3 linked regions of the Arabidopsis thaliana genome follow. The protein of the gene in region 1 interacts with the protein of each later gene in a pairwise test. Each region holds a gene or a part of one and is shown in the gene's direction. Other genes may lie near its edges.

Region 1 (9,129 bases):
AGAAGACTCATGGATAGGTCTCCAAGAAAACCATTGGCAGCCTATAGCAGGCACCTGTAAAGTTCATCATCATACACAACAGACCAAGTCAATAACAATTTATGTACAAGCAGAAAATAAGTCAAAATGCCATTAGACTGAACCTGTGGGAAGTCGATACCACAAGTGATCCGAGTCTCTAGAGCCGGAAATGCAGCAACAAAAGTATCGTTCTTGCAAACATACACAGGCTTGTTCACATGTGCGACCATCTTCTCTACACTTTCACCATCATGGTTTTGAGCCGCGTTTATGCCAACTCCTTGTATCGCATCGACCCATTCTTTAGCTGATCCATCAAAAATAGGGACCTGTCACTTGGTTAGTGTTGCCTACACTCATCATCTCCTCCAGTGTACCAAGTCTATAAAACTAAGAGCTACACTGCACAGCAAGATGTTGACAATCTCTATAGCATACAAATCCAGTCAAAATAGACAATACGAGACATTGATTCGACCTATGATTACTCAAAATGTATGTATTCAGGTAACAAACCTCGACTTCTCGATCATCGGAACTTTCGCTCTCGATTTGAATCCTGCAATTATCAACTCCCTTCGCCTCAAGAGCTGATAACAAATGCTCAACGGTTCGGATTTTGAGCTCATCTTTCAACAGCGTCGTGCAAAGAGGCGATTCCTGAGCAAATTCAATCGACGCAGGGATGAATCTGGATCGAAACTCGAAGAACCTACCAGCTCCGGCGATCTCCGGATTTAGCTTCACCGTCGAGAACTTACCGGAGTGCAGAGATTTTCCTTTCACTTCCACAGATCCTGCGAGAGTTTGCTGTAATCGTCCACTCTACAGTATTGAACCCCAAGACAAAAAAAACACACTCAAAATGATTCCAATGGATAATAAAGTCGCATATACATGTAAGCGTGTGCGGGAGAGAGGTTTACTGGATTCAAGGAGACTGTCGGCGACGACGCGGCGGAGGAGTATCGGATCCAAATGACGAGAAACGACGGCTTAGTGGCTTTGACGGTGACGGGGAGTCTCATTGATTCAACGTCTGATTAATTTTAACCATGCCCGGATTATTGATTTAAGTAAGTACTAGGATATACTAAACCGGAATCAAGAAACAAATAATGTATAGTAAACCGGAATCAAAATTCATGTTATGCAAATATCCCAATTGTTCCACCAAAAACCATTTTCTTTGTGTGATGCTTTTCTCAATTTCACATAATCTCCATTTTTGAAGTCTTAATCTTCTAATTATCATCAAATCTACCTATATAATTAAAAGGAGAAGTACAAAGTAAAGAATGCCTAAAAAATTTAGAAATATTACAGCAATTGCCTCTAAATTATGGCATAAAGAAGCGATTAATTGAAATTGAGAAGAAAACTTATCATAATTGAAAAATCTGATAGTTGCTCCAAGATCCACACCAAACACTATGATCATTCGTCCCTTTTTCTTTTGCCTGTGATACCTTGGTAGATTTGAGTCAAACTTGGAACATAATAAAACATACATTACAGAGATGATCCGACTTCAAAACCCACTTGTTTCACTTTGTTGTCCTCTCCAAAAATGTGTACCGTGGTTTTTCCTTGGTCTCTAATATTATCACAACACACGACCACTCTCTTCTTCTCGTCGACCAAGAAACTTCCGCTTTCCCCAATACAACGTTTAGGCTGCAAATCCAAAGCTAAGACCATGCTCCACGACACCACTTGTGTCTCACCAATCTTATTTGTCACCCATATTTCTGCCTTTGATTTAATTCCGCGTTGCGATAACATGGAAAGTTTCTCTTCTCTAACAACGGATAGAGCCAGAGTTGCATAACAAGGATACTTATTCGGAAGACATAGACGTTCAAATCTTTCTGTCGTATAATCAAAACTGATTAAGAATTTGCCAAGCCGTTTCTCTTCTTCACCACTAGCAATCCAGTAAGTCTTTCCCTTCAAAGACACGCCACGACCAATATACCCTAATTTGAAGTCCAAAGTGGCATCAATAATCCTCCATGAATTGGAGTTAATTTCATAAATTTGGAATTCGTGGTCGTAGCCAAAACCAGTGTGTGCCAATATATTGTAGCTATTATTTTGGTAGGATCCGAGAGTATAGTTGTCATATAAGTCATGGGTTGAATCCACCTTGTTTGACCAGTACACGGGTTCCATACCGCGAGCCAAGTATTGTCCTCCTTGGTGACGCAGACGCATAACAATAAGCCGTCGCAGTGAGAGACTTTATATATCTCGAATTGATCTTGATCTAGACAACTAGGATATTTAGGGTTGATTAGGGTAAATTCAACTGTGACTTTTACATGTGGAAGTCTATGGAGATCGACACTCATCGAGCGTACCCTAAGCCCTTTAGACATGTGAATCAGAAACTGCTTTGGGCCTTTATCCAAGTGTTTTCTTGTGAATCTCCTATCCTTGAATAAACAGTTCCATCCTTTGCAAGTAGACCCTAACTGTTTCAAAGACATAGCTGGAACGCGGTAGAGTATCTCTTCTAACAAATGCTCTGGAAGTTCCGACATCATTGTCGTTTGATCAAATGTTGGTTAGGGTTTTGTATAGTACTTCACGTTTATATAAATCCATGCTCAGGCGACGAACAATTTAAGTTACTTTTACGGCAAGTCAACACTCTTTAATTCGTTTCCTATAAAAAGCGTCTTTCTTATTCTCTTCAATCTTCAATATATGAAAGAGCTGAGGAATATGGAAATGAAAGACCCGAAAAAATGGAATATGCACATTATGACAAATCACTATGTAAATGTTTGATTTACTTAGTGAAAAGTGCAACATCTTAACTTAATAAAATTATCTTATACCATCTTAACTATTTTTTTTTAGTTTTATTTTCTTTTAGGATTATGCTTCGTTTAATTAAATTGTTCACACTGTAAGGTTGGACTGAATTCATAGTATATATTTATAAAAATGCAAATTCTTACATGCATGAGGATGAGGAGAGAAAATAAAACACAATCCTAATGGAACCCATAAATTACGTTACCACCCTTTAAACAAAACTATATTTCATAACAAAAGTAAACATGCGTTGTGAAATAATGATAGGATAGGCATATATTAAGGAGTGGTATTAGGATCAAAGTCTCTAGACTCCACTCGTTTTGTCTGATTCTTCAAGGCATAGCAAAGAAGTGGCACATGGGTTCACGCAGCTTTCTTCCTTGCTACCCTTTTTCCTTTTTTTCCCTTTATTTTATCCTCCTCTCTCCTTTCAGATTTATTTGGTGATGTACGTTACGGTAAAATATGGTTACATACTTAATTACATGGACGACTTTTATTTATGTGTAAAACTATAATAAAGTCGTAAAAATCAGTGGTTTGAAAAACAGTTAAGAGTTTGCGGTATCAAAAACTTAGTACTTAGTCGGCGGTACAAAAGTTTATCATGAAAAAATAACGAGGTTAAAAAATGGCATGGACTTCAAATATAACGTCTCCGAAATATGAGAGAATAATTTTACTTTTGGGTAATGGAGTTCATCTCTCCCTAAATGATGCCCAAAACGTTGTATTCATAAGAAAGTACGTTTCTCGAATTTAGATGTTGCATTATGGTACCAAAGTGGTGGTATACCATATACATATCCAGCATTTCACATGAACCATATGTGTATTAATTAGGTGCCATATGCAGCTAGTCTTTCTACTACACGCCATAGAAGTAATACGTATTTAATTATGTATATCGATATATGTAATGCCTTAAACTATGTGATGTGTCCAATCACGTATTATCATCTATAATATGCGTTTGTTCCTTTTGCATTTAGTAGACACTGAGATTCGCATGATACGTTAAACCGAATCTCATAACTCTATATGAATCCAAGGTCCACATACTCACTAGTCACTACAATTGACTAGTTTATGGTAGCTGAAATTGATCACAACGTACCTAATTCCGATTTCTATATCTAGTGTACGTATTGATATTCTTAATTTAGTAATAGTTTTGGAAAATATAATCTGAGTTTAGTATATTCGTTGTCTTTGTTACTTTTAAATTTTAATAATAGTCTAAATAGATCTATATTTTATCGAAAGGTCTCGTTGTAGTGGAAGCATGTGAGTACGGAATACTGATTAAATAAAATACCTGTTAAGTAAAGATTGCAGAATTTCCGACTTGAGGAATATCAAACTGTATAAGCTGCTTAATGTGTACTTCTTGTATCTGGGAAAAGTATCTATTTTCTTTCTGTAAATTTAAAGAAAAGTTTCAGACACCATCCTGTTTTTATACATTTGAACTACCCACCTATATAACTCGCATTTAACCACTTTACTAAAATAACCTATATAAACATATAATTTTAATGGGTGGAACAAATGTTTTGTTGTCAACAAGGTTAACATGCTTCTATTGAACAAATACATATATGAAAATAGTCATATAGTTATTTATTCCTAACTTAGGCTAATAATCTCAAGTGATCTTTAAGAATAGGATTCTAAAATATGAGTAGAATAGGTCATAGGTGTTAAGATTCATATACTTTTCTTATTGTTGTCCATTAGAAGTAGAACCAACCAACCTTACTTGAGAAAAAAGAGAAGAAGCATTATCCCTCGAAAAGAGAAAAAGCGAAACAAAGATATTTGGGACATCGAACATTTTCCCTCTTTTCATGGGCAAAGCATTTAAATCTAATCTTCACTAATTACTAGTTATACCTTTTCCTTACTAATTATCAGACAATTGAACATATTGACCAAGTCAACATATTTTATCTGTAATAATTAATTATCTACCTTACAATCAAAAGATGAATTCACAACTAACTAAATAAATCACAAGAAAAAATACCAGAAACAATTCCATGACATTAATACTCAATAAACATTCAACTAAGTGTCTGCTACAAAAAACTCAGGTTTATTTCTCATTATTACTTTTGTGTTTATTATTTTTTTGTAATAAAGATGCACACCAAGAATTAACTTTTTGAAATAAACAATATTAGAAGAGATCCAAGCGACAAAATTCACTGTAAGCTACTAAAGAAAAATAGTAGAAAACATAGTACTACTACTTAATTGTCTAATTTGCTTACTAATTAATTAGTTTATTGACTAATCAGAAAAAGTAACATGTTTGAAGTTAGTGTTTAAGAATTAATACAAATGTTGCGTCATCATCTCTCGCTGTCTTGTCAAATCTGTAACTGCATATTTATTTATAAATCTCTCTTCTCTTTACTCATTCTCTTCTCTCTCACTTTCTCAAACAATCTCTCTCTCTGGCATTTGGATTTGGAAGTGCTTTTTGTATATATATCCAACAAAGGAATCAGATCGGAGATGTCGGATGTTTCCGGTGACGGAGATTTATCGGCGACGGTTACTGAACATGAAGTAACTCCACAACCGCCGGTTTCTTCGGCGACGTATCCGTCATTAACGGTGTCGGCGTCTTACAAAGAGAGCAGCGGAGGTAAAAGCTCGTCGAAGAGGAGACCAATAAGGCCGAGTTTCGACGCTGCGGCTGATAATGAGTTTATTACTTTGCTTCATGGCTCGGATCCAGTGAAAGTGGAGCTTAATCGACTAGAGAATGAAGTTAGAGGTCTGATAATGCTGTTCGATTTTTTTATTTTTTGTCGATTCGGTTTCTGATTATTGGTTGTTGGGGGGATGTAGATAAGGATCGGGAGTTAGGAGAAGCAAACGCTGAGATCAAAGCGCTTAGGTTGTCTGAGAGACAAAGAGAGAAAGCTGTTGAAGAGGTTTGTTTGTGTCTGAATTTTGCTATTTTTGTCTGAAGCTTTTTCACATTTTACCAATTCTTAATCATTTCTTGATGTTTTGGTAAATTATCTCCATTTTTGGTTAAGCCAATCAATAATGGTTGATAAATTTCACACATTTAGCAATTTCTCAGGGACGATTATTAATCTCTACATTTTTGGTTCAACCAATCAAATAATGGTTGATGAATTTCACATCTGGGTCACTTTATTTTACTACAAAGTCTTAGTTTCCTTGTTAGTTGAAGAAATAATTTATAATGAATTTAGGTGCATTTATCGTAGTGTGGTATTTGGGCAATGTGGTTGGAGAAGAACATTCAGAATTTAACTTTGCCTTTTAGTTTTGATCAATTATAACATCATGTGTTTGTTCTTGACTTTTATGTTTTTAACAGTGGGATTTTTTATTTACACATTCTCTTCTTGTGGAATGAAGTTTCCTCTATGTTTTTTTGTTGTTGTTGTAGCTTACTGAGGAGCTTACTAAGTTGGATGAGAAGCTCAAGTTGACTGAATCCATTCTCGAAAGCAAAGTATTGTTCGATAATCTTTCCTTGGTTCGATGATGTTCACCTTTCGTTTCTTAAGCTTATAGACATATGATATCAACCTTGCTGCAGAATCTAGAAATCAAGAAAATCAATGAGGAAAAGAAAGCATCAATGGCTGCTCAGTTTGCTGCTGAAGCCACTTTAAGAAGAGTCCATGCTGCTCAAAAGGATGATGACATGCCTCCTATTGAAGCCATCCTTGCTCCATTAGAAGCTGAACTTAAGCTTGCACGATCAGAGGTATATTGTCATTTTAAGTCTAACTGCTTGCTGTTTACTTTCATATGGGATATTGAAAGTTTATGAGGTCACTGATCAAATCTCTTGTATCTGTGTAGATTGGAAAGCTTCAAGAAGATAACAGGGCTTTGGACCGTCTGACTAAATCAAAGGAAGCTGCCTTACTTGAAGCTGAGAGGACCGTTGAAGCTGCCATGGCAAAAGCCGCTATGGTTGATGATCTTCAGAATAAGAACCAGGAGCTAATGAAGCAAATTGAAATCTGTCAGGTTCTGTGGTCGCCATCTTGTTCTTTGTATTTACTTAATCTATGGATTTGCCAACAATCTGATTAACTTTATTTTCTGTTTTAGGAAGAAAACAAAATTCTAGATAGAATGCATAGGCAGAAGGTTGCTGAAGTGGAAAAGCTTACTCAGACAGTACGAGAGCTAGAAGAGGCTGTTCTTGCAGGTGGTGCTGCTGCAAATGCCGTGAGGGATTACCAGCGGAAATTTCAAGAGATGAATGTAACTAAACACACTTCATAAAGTCTCTAATTTCTTGTCACAACAATTGCCTACTGATGTAGGAATAATTCTTGTTTTTGTCTTTCAGGAAGAGCGGAAAACTCTTGACCGGGAGCTTGCACGTGCAAAGGTTACAGCAAACAGAGTTGCCACTGTGGTAGCAAATGAGTGGAAAGATGGTAATGATAAAGTGATGCCTGTGAAGCAATGGCTCGAAGAACGAAGGTTTCTACAGGTTTACTTTGATATGATGGCCCCTCTCCTAGATTCTTAGGACGCAAATTATTTGCAGTGAGCAAGGCCCATCCATATCTACATTCTCACTTCTTGATCCTCAACTTTTTTGCAGGGAGAAATGCAGCAACTTCGTGATAAGCTCGCCATAACAGACCGGGCTGCAAAATCCGAGGCACAGTTAAAAGTAACAAATCTTATCCATTAGTCAGCTTCTTTCAGTTGATCTTGTTACACAGAACAAGAAGTAATATATTTTGTTTGTGCAATTTCAGGAGAAGTTTCAACTGCGGCTTAAAGTGCTTGAGGAGACACTTCGAGGAACTTCAAGCAGCGCCACCAGGAACACACCCGAGGCAAGAAGCATGAGTAATGGACCTTCTCGCAGGCAGTCGCTTGGTGGAGCTGAAAACTTACAAAAATTTACATCAAACGGTGCTTTATCAAAGAAAGCTCCAGCATCTCAGATGAGGCATTCATTGTCTATTAATTCAACTTCGGTGTTGAAGAATGCTAAAGGAACATCTAAGTCATTTGATGGAGGCACAAGATCCGTGGATAGAGGCAAAGCACTTTTAAACGGACCTGGGAATTATTCCTTCAACAAGGCTACTGATGACTCTAAGGAAGCAGAGTCAGGTAATGGGTGGAAAGAAAATTCAGAGGAGAAGCCACAAAGTGAAGACCCTGAAGCAGCAACTGAGGACAGTGTCCCTGGTGTTTTGTATGATTTACTACAGAAAGAAGTAGTTTCTTTGAGGAAAGCCTCTAATGAAAAGGATCAAAGCCTCAAAGACAAAGATGATGCCATCGAGGTAAGAGTTCTGTTTCTTTAAGTTCTGTTTCTTTATGCCATATTAATCTTGTTTAAAGAAGAACATTCTTGTTGTAAACGGAGGAAGTAATGATACGTTGATGTTCGTAGATGCTAGCGAAGAAGGTGGAAACATTAACAAAGGCAATGGAGGTTGAAGCAAAGAAGATGAGACGGGAAGTAGCTGCAATGGAAAAAGAAGTTGCTGCAATGCGTGTGGAGAAAGATCAGGACGCCAGAGCCAAAAGGTTTTCAAATAGCAAGAGCCCATCCAACACCGCCCAGATTCTTGCGGGAAGGTAGAGCTATGTGGTTTTTCACTTTGTATTACACATTTCATGGTTAGCTATAATGCTATATACTTCTTAGTTCATAATTTGGTATTCAAACTAAATTTGGAGTTTGGATTTGCGCAGAGCTGCTGGACGAAGTGGCGGGTTAACGAAGAGTACCCAGTGAAGGGAGATTCAAGAAAATAACAAGTAAAAGAATGTCCTTGGCTCTTGTTATTCAGCTGTTTTAACCTTATATCATGGCTTTTACTTTGTTTTTGTTTACCTCATGTGATTGGTTGTATCACCATATATAACTTAGCATGCTGATAATCCCATCCTCACACCTATAACCTAGTAAAAAGATAAGAAAGAGAGTTTGTGACATAGATTTGGTGTTAAAGTGGTTAGAGGGAGGAGAAGAAAAGCCGAGGGAGAGAGTGAGAGATGTTGACATTTTGGCTAACATTTTCATCTCTCTTTTCGGGAGTTAGTTTGTTTTTGGTGTATAGGTTTGGTATTTGGCTTCTCTAGAGCTTGTGTACCTCTGATTCCTTTTATTTGTTTGTTACTCTATTGCACTCTTTGTGTGATTTATTCGTTTGTATTTTGGGTTTGCTGATATATAATATATGATTTGATATATTTGAACAAATCACATCACAACAAGTACTCGAAGATTTCAAA
Region 2 (7,354 bases), 1.5 Mb from region 1:
ATTTCTCCACAGCTCCTCCTTCGACAAGGCAAAATGTTTCTCTTAATGAACATATTCCCTGGTGGATCTTGCACAGCCCGTTTACAACGTGTGGTTTTCTCACACACGAAAAGATCGAGCCACAGTAGTTCACAGGAGGCGGATCAGGCATCCGTGTCAGCTTTATAGACTCTAGTGAAAGATTCTCTAAAGCCATGGCGGACACCATCTGTATGTTATCTTGCCCGTTGGATTGGAGCAGATGAAGGAAGAGTGACGCAACATCGTGCTCACGGCAAAAGTTAATGGCCCGAGCCTCTTTGTTGAAAACAAAAGTAATCCTAGCAAGTATACGCACAAGTCCTTCCAGAAAAGGATTCACAAACCTCATTCCCTTGATATCCCCTTGGCGGATTCCAAACACTTTGGATATGATTTTTTCAAAAGCACCAACTTCTAACATTTCCTGAGTAAGACCCAAATCCCTATCTGGCAATTCAGCTAAGAGCCCAGCAGCAGCAGCCTGTTCTTCAGTGATTGGTGTCTTTTCTGAAATGATAGCAACAAGGCTTCCGAGTTGTCCAGCAGTGCCACATAAGGCCTTAGCTAGTTCTTCACTCATGAATGGGGAAAGGTTATGAAGAAGCTTTATGGAAGCCAACCGCAAATCATCATTCTCTCGGACCTCTATAAACTGAACCAAACTGATGATTGCACCGGAGGTTTTAATTGCATAAACAACTTTTGGAACTGTTTTTGGGCAACTGGTGAGTCCAACAAGAACCTCCAACAGCTTGCACTGGATCGCTGGACCTGTGTTGCTAATTAGATGGAGCAGATTCTCCACTCTGTTCTCTGAAACAAGAGTGGCTTTGTCAAAGTCATACCCGATGTTCACTATGTTAGCAAGAATAGTGGCAGAGACTTCTTTCAACCGAATTGGAAGGTTGTTTGGCCCCACATAAAACAGATCTTTGATAAGTGGGGGGAGAATTCCTTTGCTGATCAAGACCTTAGCACTCCCTTCGAACGATGAGATTTTGTTAAGAGCTTTCAAGGCAGCTTCCCGTTGGGGCATGTCACCACTTCTCATAAGATCGACAAGAGAAGAACCCACAGTCTGAGCCACAAGAACCTTCACATCGTTATTTAAGGGAAGCTCCCCGAGAAAGGAAGCCATAGAGAGTTTTGTTTCAGGTGAACCTGCAGATTTCACATGTGGTGTCATTATTCATACAAGAAATTTGCCATATAACAGAGGAAAATAATGAAAGATTTGACCATCTGGGTAGAAGAAAATTGACTCTTCTTACAAGCGAACATGTAAAATTCCTAGAGCAAACAAATTCTAAGGCAGAATACCATAACACTGTGATGCATCCGAACAACTGAAGGAAGAATTTTACCAACTGAAGGAAGATGATAACTTGTTTTATGCAAATGAAGTAGAGAGCGTAATTGTTATATTAAAACCAAACAAAGAAAAGAAATTCTTTCACCTTCAAGGAGTTTGCCTAGAAGAGGCTGGAGTCTACCATATGAAGCCATCTGCCTAACAATTTCCTCTGACCTCTCCATATTTTCCAAGGTTCTATCAGCTTTCTCAACAATTGAAACATTTTCTGAGTTGCTGCTTGTCAGACCAACCAATAATATTAGTGCTCCATGAATGGAACCAATCTTCTCGCACAAAGCTTCTGATTTAGAGAGCTCAAACAGCAAGGAAACAGCTGCCTCCCTCCCCTTTGATGGCTCATGTGATAAGAACTTAACTAGTGTACGCACAGTGTCCCCTTCAGCTACTATCGCCTGCAAGATGCTGAAAATTTAATTAGCACCCGCTCAATTTCCCATTAAAATGCTACACTAAATATTCAGCAGAGATGAAAAGAAATCAGATTCAACCTTGCTCTCATCATCTCCTTCAACGACAACTTGCAGAGTTTGTAGAGCCTTATACCGCACTCTATGGCTAGTACTTTTTAACATGTCGATGATCATATGGATAAGCTGAGAGTTGCGTACACCATGCCTATTTGATCGGATGGTCCTGCAAATCTGTCGCACATGCATCAAAGCTTGCAAAATATCTGTCTCAGCATTCCCTAAAAACAGTGACTGACGAGCAATGTCAAGCTTGGCAGCATCATTCCTGGATCTCCACTCTTCGATAGTGTTACGCAGAGCTATGCTGGCGCTTACATCAGTGCTAGTCAGCTCCTGAGATGTCAAAGGGCAAGAAGGAGGTCTCCCACTGTCCCGACACTCCTTGAACCATTTCTCAATGGCTTCACGCTCGAATGTTCGACCATTCTCTAAAGTGACAGGATCATGCATAACCTCCTTTGTCAATGGGCAGATGAATGCTTCATAGATATGATCTACTCCTCGCTCAAAATGAGAGCTATCATCTGACTGGTCACCATCCGAGCTTCCAACCATCTTAATCCTTCAAACTCACTGCAAATGTACAAGCAAATACCTCATTGTTATGAAACATAGGATCCTAGATGAAAACCCACTTGGATACATCAATGCAAGAGAGTCTGGTAAGAAAGTGTCGAAATTTGATAGTAAATGAATGAGAAAGTTTTGGAAACACAAAAAGGGATAGTACCACAGTTTGGTTCCCGGATTCTTTCACAGCCAAGGAAACAAAATTCAAACTTTCAATCATAACTATAACCTAAAATACGAAAAGTAACAGTGTCCCAAAATCATCACTCCCATGAACCCTTATATAGCAAGATTACCAAATTTAGCAATATTCGTCAAAAAGATAAAGAAGAGAAACAACGTCTCATGAAGCATTTCAAAAATACCAAAAGAGATAAAAAAAAAAGCACACCAGCCTGTTCCAGTTGAAGAAGCGCCTCCTCAAAGCTATACAGAGAAGGGAAAAGAAAAAACCAAAGTTGATTCTTCTTCTGAAGTTGACAATTCGAAAACGACCACTTCTTCAAAAATCTCCTTGAGCTAAAAACGCGCGAGAAAGTGTGAGTTCTTCTTCATCCATGGATCTAATTGCAAGCAATCGAGCTTGCCTCCTACTAAAATCTCGAGCAGAGTTGATTCTATCCCCGTGCGAGAACGAGAGAGACAGGTAAAAGCGAGAGGAAATAACAGAGAAGAAGATGGGTTGAAGAAAAAATCGAATTTTTAAGAGAAAAGCACGAAAGGTTGACTAAAATCGAAAAGTCATGTGAGAGAGAGAGATAGAGAGAGACGTGGAGCCACCAAACGCCAACTTGACAAACTGAGACAAACAGCCTGGCGCTGTGTTCACACACACTCGACTTGCTCTACCCACCCACCCATAAACATAACCGGTTTGACCCGAAAGAGGTAATCTTTCGACTTGGGCTATTGGTATTAATGGGCCTTTATTAATTGGATATTACGAAAATAGCCTCGTTTGATCCGTCTTTGTTTCGATCGCTTTACGTTGTCTTCTACTTGGGCTATTGGGCCTTTACTAATTGAAATATTACGAAAATAGCCTCGTTTACTCGAGAAATTGATCTGTCTCTGTTTCGATCGCTTTACGTTGTCTTCCTCGTGTAAGCTTCGATTTGTTGATTCGCGTGTGTTGGAGCTAAATTTCGATGGCGGAGATTTACGAGGAAGGAGATGAATCAGTGGATGTGAATAAAGAATCAGAAGTGAAAACTGAGCTGGGAAAAGGGGGAGGAGATGAGAATGTTTTGCAGTTTCTAGATTCGTTGGATGGATATTTAACGCTTATGGATTCTGTGAATTCTAAGCTTCGAGAGGTAATTGGAATGATATTTGGTGTATTGAGCTAAAATGGGATCTTATGGGAATGATTCTTATGTTCTGATGTATAGATGACTTGAGATATTCTGTGTTGAATTGAATTGAATCTGGGATTAAAAAGGATTGCGTGGGAAACGTTTTCGTTGATTATCTAGCTATAGTAGCCATGAGGAGAAACTTTTTTGTGGATTCATATCACTGATATGATGAGAGTGAGAGTCTGCTGCCTTAATTAACTTATTTGGTATGGAACTGAAATGTGTTATTTTTGCAGGGATGGTTTGATCTAGCTAGTGCTCGACATTCTATGGGAACTTTACGCATCAACAGCACTCTCTTAGATCTTAAGTATCATCCCGCTTCTTCAACATTGCAAGTGACTGACCAAGATGGTAAGTTTGGCTTATGCTTTGGGCGTTTGATAGTTCAATGGTTTACGTTTATATGCTATGAATTTATGTTTTTTTTGCGGGGAAGCAACTTATATACAGTGTATGTCTATGGACTCTTGTAGTTGAATCTTTGGGATCAGTACCTCATTTTGCTTTGTCCAAGTGGGCTTCCAAGGGCGGTAGCAGGAAAGGCAAAGACTTCTCTACTGATACAGATTCGGAGATAGGCTCACCTCTCAGCCCACAGCTACGACATCGAGGAGTTTCTGGTAAAAAAAGACTCATCTGTTGGTTATTCTCTGCCCTTTGTTTGTCGGTGTTTCATCATCTCTTGCTTTATGTAATTCGATAGAAGAGAAACCATCAGCCAAGGATGAAACCGTTTTAGCAGCTGATGAAGAGGTGAGCAATCATTTAACCGTCTGCAGAAACTCTACTTGTTTTCAAAATGTAGGACGATGGTTTTACTAATTCGAATGTGTTGAGCTCCAGATAAAGAAAGAACGGGCAAAATCTCTGTCAGTATTTGGAGGTCTAGTCTCTCCTAAGCTGCGTGGCGCTCAACAATCATTTGAAACAGGTAACATCCTCATCACCACAAGTATACTCAAAGGAAGATTCCAGTTTACAACTGAAACTCTTTTTTCTCTCGTCTTTGGACAGCTCTTGAAACTCTGGTGGAAATAGCCAACATGCGTGCATCGATGATATCTGCCTTTGAGCGGATCACAGAGAAGTGAAGTTCCTTGGTAACAACTGATCCTGAAATGTGCTCAGTGGATTCAACGGAAACAGAATGGAGCCAACCTCAAAGACTGATGTTACATTGATCATAGCAGTTTGATGCTGCGAAAATCATATCTTCTTCGAGTCAGAGGGTTAGAATGTACCAATGCATTAGCTCGATTTTCAATTTTGTAGCTACCACCTTCAAGTGTATCTGTTTTGATTTGGTTAAATGTTACCAGAAGTTCTTACAAGACCTCGAGCTAAGGATATATCAAAATAATAAAACATTTTGGAGAAGAGAAACAGTAAAAATGGAGAAAAATAAAATCATTTCATTGTCCTTTAATCTCTTATCCACGACGAAATCCTCAAATATTTCTTTCATATAAAGCAAATGAATTCATAACATAACAGAGATACAGTAGGAAACCAATACAGAGACAAACTTTACAAATTACAAATAGACTAACGCTAGTGTCTCATCCAAAACCAGAATTTGGTGAAAAAATTATAATTATGAAACAAGCACAAGTTCATCAAGCGAGGAAAAAGGATTATAAAAGGGAACGATAGTAACCGAGGCTAGAAGGAGTTCCAGTTATCTGACCTTTTCGTAGGGCTTTCATCCGAAGAGACTTTAAAGGGACCTGTGGAACCAAACGGGTCTGCATCATCAAACGAGTATCCATGGCTACCACTGAAATCCTTTGTACTATTCATAGAGTCGAATCTTGATAGCGAGGGACCACCAAAGTCTTTGCTACTGTTGATGGAATCAAACCTCGAAAATTTCTCAGCTCCAGTGACGTCTCTGGAACTGTTAATTGAATCGAACCTAGAGAAGGCAGCTCCACCAAAGTCTTTGGAGCTGTTGATGGAATCAAACCGAGACAGTCTCTCGGGCTGCGAAGAAAACCCGGCGCCTGCTTCACTGGTGTTGAAGGAGTCGAACCTGGAGAAGCTATCAAAGTTATTATCTCTAGCTGATGCATCGCTGAACCGAGGTGGAGAGTTCCCGAATCTTGAGAGTGGAGTGCTGGGGACTGAATCATCAAATGCAAATTGGCTCTTTCTCTGGGCGCCAAAGCTTCTTGAACTTGGAGAATCTGCTCTTGCTGTGTTTCCACCAAAATCGTCACCTGATCCAAAGTAATCTCCATCCTGCCAATGTTGATATTGAAAATGCTAAGCTTGGTTAAGACTCTGAATAGATAACTAAATGATTCAGCATACAGAAGGTAAATGTAACATCGCAAATCTGAAAAGCATGAACTTAATACGGATTTTCAAAATCTTGTAGAAATTAAAAGATCAGTTCAATGTCTATTCGTCACAACTGAAAGATTTGATTTAGTATTTTGATAGATGGATTGATGTGTTAAAGCGAGAGACACTATGTTTCTTTACTAACCTGGCTTTTTGATGCATCAAATCCCCAGACTGAATCCACATCATCGTTAGTGTCAAATGCACTTGCCCAATTCGAGTCATCAAAGAATTCAGAATTCTTTCCCTGAGAATAATCTGGAGATGGGACCTCAGTAGCATTCCTAGAGACAGGACTGTCTCTAGGACTTCTATCTTCACTGTGAGTTGTCCCATATTCACTCTCATGGTGGCGGTCTGAGGTTTCTGAAAAAGGGCCATAGTTGTCCTCTACATGGGTCGGCGAATCAGGTGGCCCACTACCATCATCCACCGTACCATTTTCCTTCTCACCAGACGAGTTTTGCTCTTTTGATTTGTCAAAAGTGATCTCATTGCCAAAACCTAACAGTGGGAACATTATCAGTCAATGTCCTTGTTATGTGCTTAACTATATATATCTAAGTGTATTAGTAAGAGAAAGATAGGAAAAAACATTGTACCTTCATCTTCAAACTTATCCCATTCCTCATCCCAAAGAGCTGCACCTTCTTGAATTCCAGGTTGCCAGCCTGTAAGTCACAACATAGCAAATTCCACATAAGTTGTTTGTTTACAAAATACATGTTATTTGCAATCATCTACAACGAAAGCAAGAAGTCACAAGGCAACGGAATCATATACCAGCTGGAAGGTCTACAAGGGCCTTCGAGTTAACCTCCAACCCGTGTTTCTTGCATCGTTCAGTTAAAGCCTTCATCAATTCCTCAAGATCTGATTGTATTCTGTCAGCCCGGACCTAAATGTGCCCAGTACAGCATCAAATCAGGCATGTACAGCAGATACTCGACAGTTAAGGCATCTCGTAAGCATATAGAATAGCATGTACCTGAAGGAGACCATCAGCACTACCACCTTGCTCCATGTTCACAATTGCTTGACTCAACTCCATCTTCCGCCCCTGGATGGGTTAGCAAAGCAAAAGTTCAATAAGTAACAAATTTCCGTAAGATGTGTTACAAAATTATTCAAAGCCCCTTCACCAGCAAAGGTGAAAGAAGGGAGCATTGGGCCATAGAATAAGAGGAGAGGACAAGACGCACAACATGATC
Region 3 (6,496 bases), on another chromosome or scaffold:
TGGTCTGAGAACTGGATCGCCCAATCTCTACAAGAGAAATATGAAACCATTACTTAGAAGCCAAAGTTCGAAACTCTCATTTCCCGGTTTAGAAAAGTGTACTATACCTGCATGCAACTGAAATTTACATGGAGAAGCTCATTGGTGAAGCCACGGGAAACATCGAGCTGTTGCTTTGCAGACATTGCTCTTTGAAACAGCCATGATGCGCTCAAGTTTGGCTGTCGTTCAAAAGCCAAATGGATTCAGTGAAGTTAATAGCAGGGAGAAAGATATTTAGCTGAGAACCACAAAGCTATATTACCATATAAGGATTTAGCTTTGATAAGCTGTCAGAGTCCAGAAGATCTCCATCTATTGCGTCATAGATTCCTTTTTTAAGTTGAACAATAAGATTGTCAGAAAATCTGAATATTCTGAAAGAGTTCATGATATAAAAAGTTGTATAATGTTCAATGAGATATGGAGACAGCAAGTGTACTCTCAGAGAGTGAGTGTATATACCATTGGACAATCTTCCAAGGTGTCTGGTCAAACTTCCAAAACCCCCAAATGAAACAGGTGATTGAATACCGCTAGCATCACCAAACTGAGTAAAAAATTTGTAAGTAACTTTGATTATTTAGTTTATCAAATTATCAATCCGCAAACTTATCTTGGAAGCTTATATATAAATGAACCAAACCAACCTGTAGAACACGATCAAATGCAGCTGGCAACGGACTGGTGACAAGTCCAATCCAACAGGGTTAGATATGTCAGAATGCAGCAGTATTATTGTACGAAACTGGTAAACAGAATTATAATATCAATGATAGAATTTCAAACTTCCAGAGATGATAGATATAGAGATACAGGCATCAACGGAGTTTCTTGTCAAAGTCGTACCTATTTCGGTATGTAGGAAAGATTCCGTATACAACTCTCAGTATTTCCAATTCATCAAGAGAGACTCCCTTTGCCAAAAGACATCAGGAAAAGAAAGAAAAAACGAAAGTTGATGAAAGATTGTGATATAAGATGGAAGGAAACTCACTTGGTATTTTGGCATCAGTTTCCAGTATTCTTCGAGTAAATCCTCTAAACTCGGAGATGTTGATTGCGGTTCAGTGTAAGTGAACATGTAAGTAGTGCGGTCTAATGGACCAGAGCCAGCCGGGAAAGCCTTAAAGCAACAATAAGCATCCTTATATTAAAACCATTTCTTTGTGGTTATGGGAATTGTGTTAGAATGGGGACAGATTTTTTTACCTCCCAAAAGAGTTGTACATTGGAATCTGCAACTCTGGTCACCGATGAACTGCTATATATAACGTCGCTTGATGAGTTCTCTTTAAACCCATGAGCACAAGATCCAACAACAAGGCACATTCCATCTGGCTTTCTACCACGTTTGATCTTTTGTAGCAGAATACATAACAAGAAAAGTATTATGCAAGGGCAATACACAATTTGCTCAAGAAAAGCGAATCAGTAAGTTTTATTTTTTTACCACCATAACTAATGCAAATGAAAATGTAAAAGTAGATATGTTCTTAGGCCAAGATATGACCTGCTTCAGAATAGGAGAAAAGTTTCCCATGGCATCAATAACGAGACGGGAAGATAATGTGTCACCTTTAGAAAGTTGCATAACCTGTCAATCAAAATGTTCAAACAATTCATATCAATAAGCTGAATACTCTTCTTAGGTACAATGTTTTTGGAGAAAACGCCAGATAACTCACAGCTAAATCATTGTAGATGACGATGCTCGAGAGGCTGGAGTCTTCTAAAATGACTCCACCAAGAGAAATGAAACGTTGTTTTACAGTTTCCACAAGTTTGGCTGGGCTGTTTTAACATACAAAACGAAAAAACAAACAAATCATCACTTTCAGAAAGTAGCAGAACACAAGGGGATTATTCTTTTCCTATGTATTAGAGAATAAGAGAAGACAGGACTCACGAAACGCCGAGGTTAAGAATATCTTCAACCCATATATCACCAAGATTCTCAAATCCACATCTGTTCTGCATTTGTTCAAGATAACCTTAAGCTACATGACTTTTATAAAGCATCAAGATATTGCTTACTGAAGAGAAGCTTTACCGGATTGAACTTTGCAGCAATTACTTCTTCGATCTCATCTTCGGTTAAAACTCTGACTTCAGTCAGTTCTTTCATCTCTTTTCTTGAGATATTCCATTCTTGATCTCTCTAAATCACCACAAAACCAAAAAGCTTTAACAATAGCTTCTCCAACCAGACCTCAACCACAGCATTAACTAGAAGCTTTACCCCTTTGATTGCATTTCTCTCCACCACAGCGACTCTTAAACCCTTGGCACATAGAGCCGTGGCTAGAAAAATCCCCAAAGTACCCCCACAAACCACTATGTCAAAGGTTCCAACGAGATTATTCCCCATACTATAATCTTGAGAAAAACCAGATACCCTAGAAACAATTTGCTGAGTTTCTTGTGGTCCTGCAAAGACTAACATTCATCACCAAGAGAAGCATATTTCTTAATTATCTGAATGGTTACCAAAAGACTATTGTTCTTATTACCTGTTGGTTGAGTACATATGTTGGACCAAATATTGTCAAGTCTCTTCAAGGCATTATAAGAGTAAGCACCACCAGCACCTCCAGCTTCTCCACCAACTGAAATACTCTCCATTATCTTCTGCATATCGAAATGATTGAACTCATACTCAGCTAAAAACAACTCATCGTGAAGTTAAACATGCTTATGCAATCTCGCTTAAAGGCTCTCAAGATTCAAATACTAAAACAACTAAGAAAGAACAAAAGCGATGAAAATTTCTTTTCCTGTGCAATGAAAATCAATTATCAGTTATCAAGAGCAAACTTTCATCACAATGCAGACCACAAAATCATCTCTAATCCTGATAAAGTTCACAACTTTTTCTCATTTCCCCCCAGAGGATGCGTAATTGAGCAGAAAGCTTGACCTGTGTAAGAGAGGGAGCCAATTGTGTTTGAACGCACACTGTCGTCGAAGCTCTCCTTCTTCCTTGGTTTGTCTGAGCCCTTGATACGGAACTAACGAACCCATTGAACTGATGAATTTGCAGAACCACCATGACAATGAGTTCCAAAACAAATGCTATAAAACCAAGAGCGAACTTTTGATAAACAGAGATAAAACTTGTGAAGAGAAAACTGGAAAGATTGTGCAATGTGTCAGAGAATGTGACACGTTTACAGTCTTACAAAACAAAAACATTTTGGGTTACATTAACTCAAAACAAACTTCTGTTCTAAAATTAAAACAAATCTAAATGTTAGTATCGTTTCTGTAATATTTATTATATCCTCTTCTTCTTTTTTACTGATTCATCAAATCGGGGATCGGATAAGCCTGACTGCTTCAGGGTTTAAGGGTTACTCTCACTCACACTTCCGCTGGTAAGAAATTCGATTTCGATGCGTATAATCTGTCTTCCGCTTTTTTTTTTGGTTTTGAAATCGACAACCTTTTTTTGCGGACTTGTTGGGTTAAATTCGTATATCTTCAATTTTGCGATGAGTTTTCACTTTTCCAATCGAAATAGCAAATGGGCATTAGCTAATTTCCTGAATTGTGAGTTTTTGTGTTACGCTGTGTCATTGATTCATATAAGCTATTGCAAAGAGAGTAAATGATAAAGCCTTCAGCTTTACAATATAATTCACTTTTACACACTAGAGTTTAGAAATTCACCTTCTTTCTCTGTTTCAGGAGTTACAAGACTTTAACACATCACAAAGAATTTCGATATGTGTTATTTAAAGTTCATTGTGGATCTCAGGTTTCACAAGATTGGATAGAAGCAGCCATGGCAAGTCTGATAATGACTACACCATTCCCAGGTTCTGTCACTGCATGTAAGAAGACAAATAACCTGTCTGTTCAGAGAGCCTTTAAGGTGACTTGTATGCAGACAGAGAAACCATTAGAGGAGCTATACAATGTTAAAGTGGAACGGAAAGTTTCACAGAAACGGTTGGAGGAACTCGGGGTTTCGAGATGGTCAGTTTGGAAGACAGGGAAATGCAAATTGCCATGGGATTGGCAGGTGGATCAGTTGGTTTACATTGAACAAGGAGAGGTTCGAGTAGTTCCCGAAGGAAGCAAGAGGTATATGCAGTTTTTAGCTGGAGATCTTGTTCGGTATCCGAAATGGTTGGAAGCTGATCTTTTCTTTAACGCTCCTTATATTGAGCGGTATTGTTTCAAGGCCTATGGTGATGATTGATCCAACTTAGACTTTTGAGTTTTTAGTAGAGCCAAGAAACTTTACACTTGTTGTGTGTTGTTGTAGCCTGATGGATCTTTTTGTGATAATATAAGAAAACAAGTTCTCTCTCCTTTGTTCTGCATTTTCAATGCTAATCATAAGTAAACATAGGCAGCATCAGAGAGAGATAAAAAAAAATCAAACATAAAGAAAGAAACTCAAATCAAAACATCATATTTGGACAAAACCCCACTATTTCATCAACTGAACAAAAAAAAGAAAGAAAACCAAGCCAGATTTGCCTGAAAACTAAATCCGTTTTACTTGTGGCTTAAGCAATAAGCAGAGTTATGATTAGGAAGAACTAGAGCTGCTCTCTCCTGAACAGCCTTGGCCAGAGTGGCTAGAATCTACTGCCGAAGGAATGGGTAACGGTACCTGACCAGATTCACCTCAAGTAGAAGCACCATCGCCGCCACTGCCAGATTCTCCTGAAGTAGAGCCGTTGCTGGAATTTTTGGGGTGAGAGCAAAACAGAGTTTGCCTGTTCCAGATCGGAAAGACCAGAGAGGAAAGACGTCTTTTTCCTTAAACGAATTCGACTTGTTAGCATCAAGCACATCGTTCCAACCTTTAACAAAGACATAATTCCAGTTTCCCTTCATCTTCCACTTCCTCAACTCAAGCGCATGCTTATTCATCCGAGGATCCACCAAATTCACAGGCACACCATCGTCACGAATCTTCATGGCATTTTCATGTATGATTCTTGTCTCGTCCTCTGTCAAAAAGTCCGGAGTTTTCACTTGGTTAAAAGGGACTTGGAGACGTGCTTTACCTTTATCGAGATCAGACTTAAACAATTCCCTCGTTGAGATCAGCTTCGGATTGTAGCCATTCTCGTTCCTCATAACGTTCAAAAGCCAATCGGGTGGAGTCGTTTGAATTTGGTTGCACCTCTAAAGGACTAACGACTTTGCCTTTCTTGGGACGTCTCTCTTCCACCTTAACAGAACAACGTTTTTTCTTGGACTGACTGACACAAGATGACATAGACGACTGTGAATCCGGATTAGGGTTTTCTAGTACGGAAGTAATTGATCTACGTTCTAAGAGGCTGTCAAGCGGCAACTCTGCGACAACTTCGTACATCAACTCCTGCATATTAACCCGCCCTGAGTTAACCCTAGGTTCCTTCTTTTTCGATTTGTCTTTCTTAGTCTCGTACTCTAACGACATGACGGGCGGATTCAACAGTTTAAAGCTTTTGTCTTCGTTAGTACCGTACTCTTTGTGCACATCCCACTGACGTCTCGAAATTTGTTCCACCTCAAAGCGACCAAAGGTTTGGGGCTTCTGAAGAATTTCACGTAATCTCGTCAAACATCTCTGCTTGGAAAAACTACGATCATCAGATTTCATCATCTTGATCAAGTCTCTTGAAGATACAGAACCGGAAATTATAAAACCTAGAAGGAAACTCGAGTTCTAGCGAAAGAGAAAAAGGTTAGCTTTGTAGTCAAGGAACGAAGGTATTCAGGTTTTCCTTTTCTTCATAGGGAAATTGATTTTATTTTGCGATTAAATTAATGAGAGTCGGTGAGATTACAATTTTTACACTCCTGGGCTCTAAATTAAGCCGCCTAATAATTTGTTATCCTTAAAGGACGAACTACCCTTACCCAACAAATGTAACATATGTTTTCGTTACTCAAAAAATTTCACATGTAAAGAAATACTTGTTCTGTTTCTTATGTTTCCATAATAAAATGAAGTAGTCATGAATACGTTGTTTGATATGGAAGAAACTAATTTAATAGTTTCGGCTCTTCTGTTATAAGATCATAGTTTAAATGTAAACAGAACATGCCATAATTCTGTTTTTGAGTAACTTTACTTACTCATTGATCAATTTACAAAAAAAAAATGAAACAGAACAATTTTAATCCTAAGGGTGTCTGATGCCTCTAAGCCTATTCTGACCATTATTCTTGATGAACCACCCTGGCTTGTACAAAGCAACAACATGTCCAATTGCCAATCCAAACAACACCCCTGGTCCATACCCTATTGCCGCTGCTCTCCACTCCAATATTTCTTCTTCTTCTTCTTCGGGCTCTTGTGTCGATGGTGCGTCTTCTCTTAAACAGCTTTCTTCAAGAGGAAGACCACATAACCCTGAATTTCCTTCAAATGAGGATTTAGGCTGCCCTATGATTTGTGTTCCTTGTGGTATTTTACCAGTGAGTTGATTATCAGAGACATCTA

What was found. Proteins that work in one complex are often made in the same cells at the same time.
Region 2: the proteins of MAP70-2 (region 1) and AT1G20770 interact in a two-hybrid assay, tested with the Arabidopsis thaliana proteins (one large-scale study listed by BioGRID).
Region 3: the proteins of MAP70-2 (region 1) and AT2G32650 interact in a two-hybrid assay, tested with the Arabidopsis thaliana proteins (one large-scale study listed by BioGRID).

What each region holds. Positions count from the first base shown.
Region 1 is NC_003070.9:8,759,501-8,768,629, reverse strand, and holds MAP70-2 (microtubule-associated proteins 70-2), read left to right. Parts: upstream 1-5,160; 5' UTR 5,161-5,196; coding exon 5,197-5,638; exon of another isoform or gene 5,639-5,712; coding exon 5,713-5,798; intron 5,799-6,289; coding exon 6,290-6,355; intron 6,356-6,442; coding exon 6,443-6,613; intron 6,614-6,711; coding exon 6,712-6,882; intron 6,883-6,966; coding exon 6,967-7,122; intron 7,123-7,210; coding exon 7,211-7,357; intron 7,358-7,471; coding exon 7,472-7,543; intron 7,544-7,631; coding exon 7,632-8,171; intron 8,172-8,281; coding exon 8,282-8,469; intron 8,470-8,586; coding exon 8,587-8,629; downstream 8,630-9,129. Other genes in the region: LpxC1 (UDP-3-O-acyl N-acetylglycosamine deacetylase family protein), read right to left, coding at 1-54, 144-350, 538-846, 948-1,049. UniProt on the Arabidopsis thaliana protein: Plant-specific protein that interact with microtubules.
Region 2 is NC_003070.9:7,212,879-7,220,232, reverse strand, and holds AT1G20770 (coiled-coil protein), read left to right. Parts: upstream 1-3,335; 5' UTR 3,336-3,584; coding exon 3,585-3,752; intron 3,753-4,030; coding exon 4,031-4,148; intron 4,149-4,270; coding exon 4,271-4,417; coding exon of another isoform or gene 4,418-4,500; coding exon 4,501-4,550; intron 4,551-4,640; coding exon 4,641-4,728; intron 4,729-4,811; coding exon 4,812-4,888; 3' UTR 4,889-5,218; downstream 5,219-7,354. Other genes in the region: SAUL1 (senescence-associated E3 ubiquitin ligase 1), read right to left, coding at 1-1,182, 1,479-1,788, 1,885-2,421; AT1G20760 (Calcium-binding EF hand family protein), read right to left, coding at 5,460-6,038, 6,289-6,647, 6,746-6,814, 6,927-7,041, 7,132-7,203.
Region 3 is NC_003071.7:13,847,721-13,854,216, forward strand, and holds AT2G32650 (RmlC-like cupins superfamily protein), read left to right. Parts: upstream 1-3,268; 5' UTR 3,269-3,416; exon of another isoform or gene 3,417-3,651; intron 3,652-3,799; 5' UTR 3,800-3,826; coding exon 3,827-4,246; 3' UTR 4,247-4,268; downstream 4,269-6,496. Other genes in the region: AT2G32640 (Lycopene beta/epsilon cyclase protein), read right to left, coding at 1-27, 108-221, 305-372, 505-589, 690-723, 889-956, 1,037-1,165, 1,252-1,398 and 7 more; AT2G32645 (B3 domain protein, putative (DUF313)), read right to left, coding at 4,269-4,365, 4,667-5,139; RLP22 (receptor like protein 22), read right to left, coding at 6,177-6,496.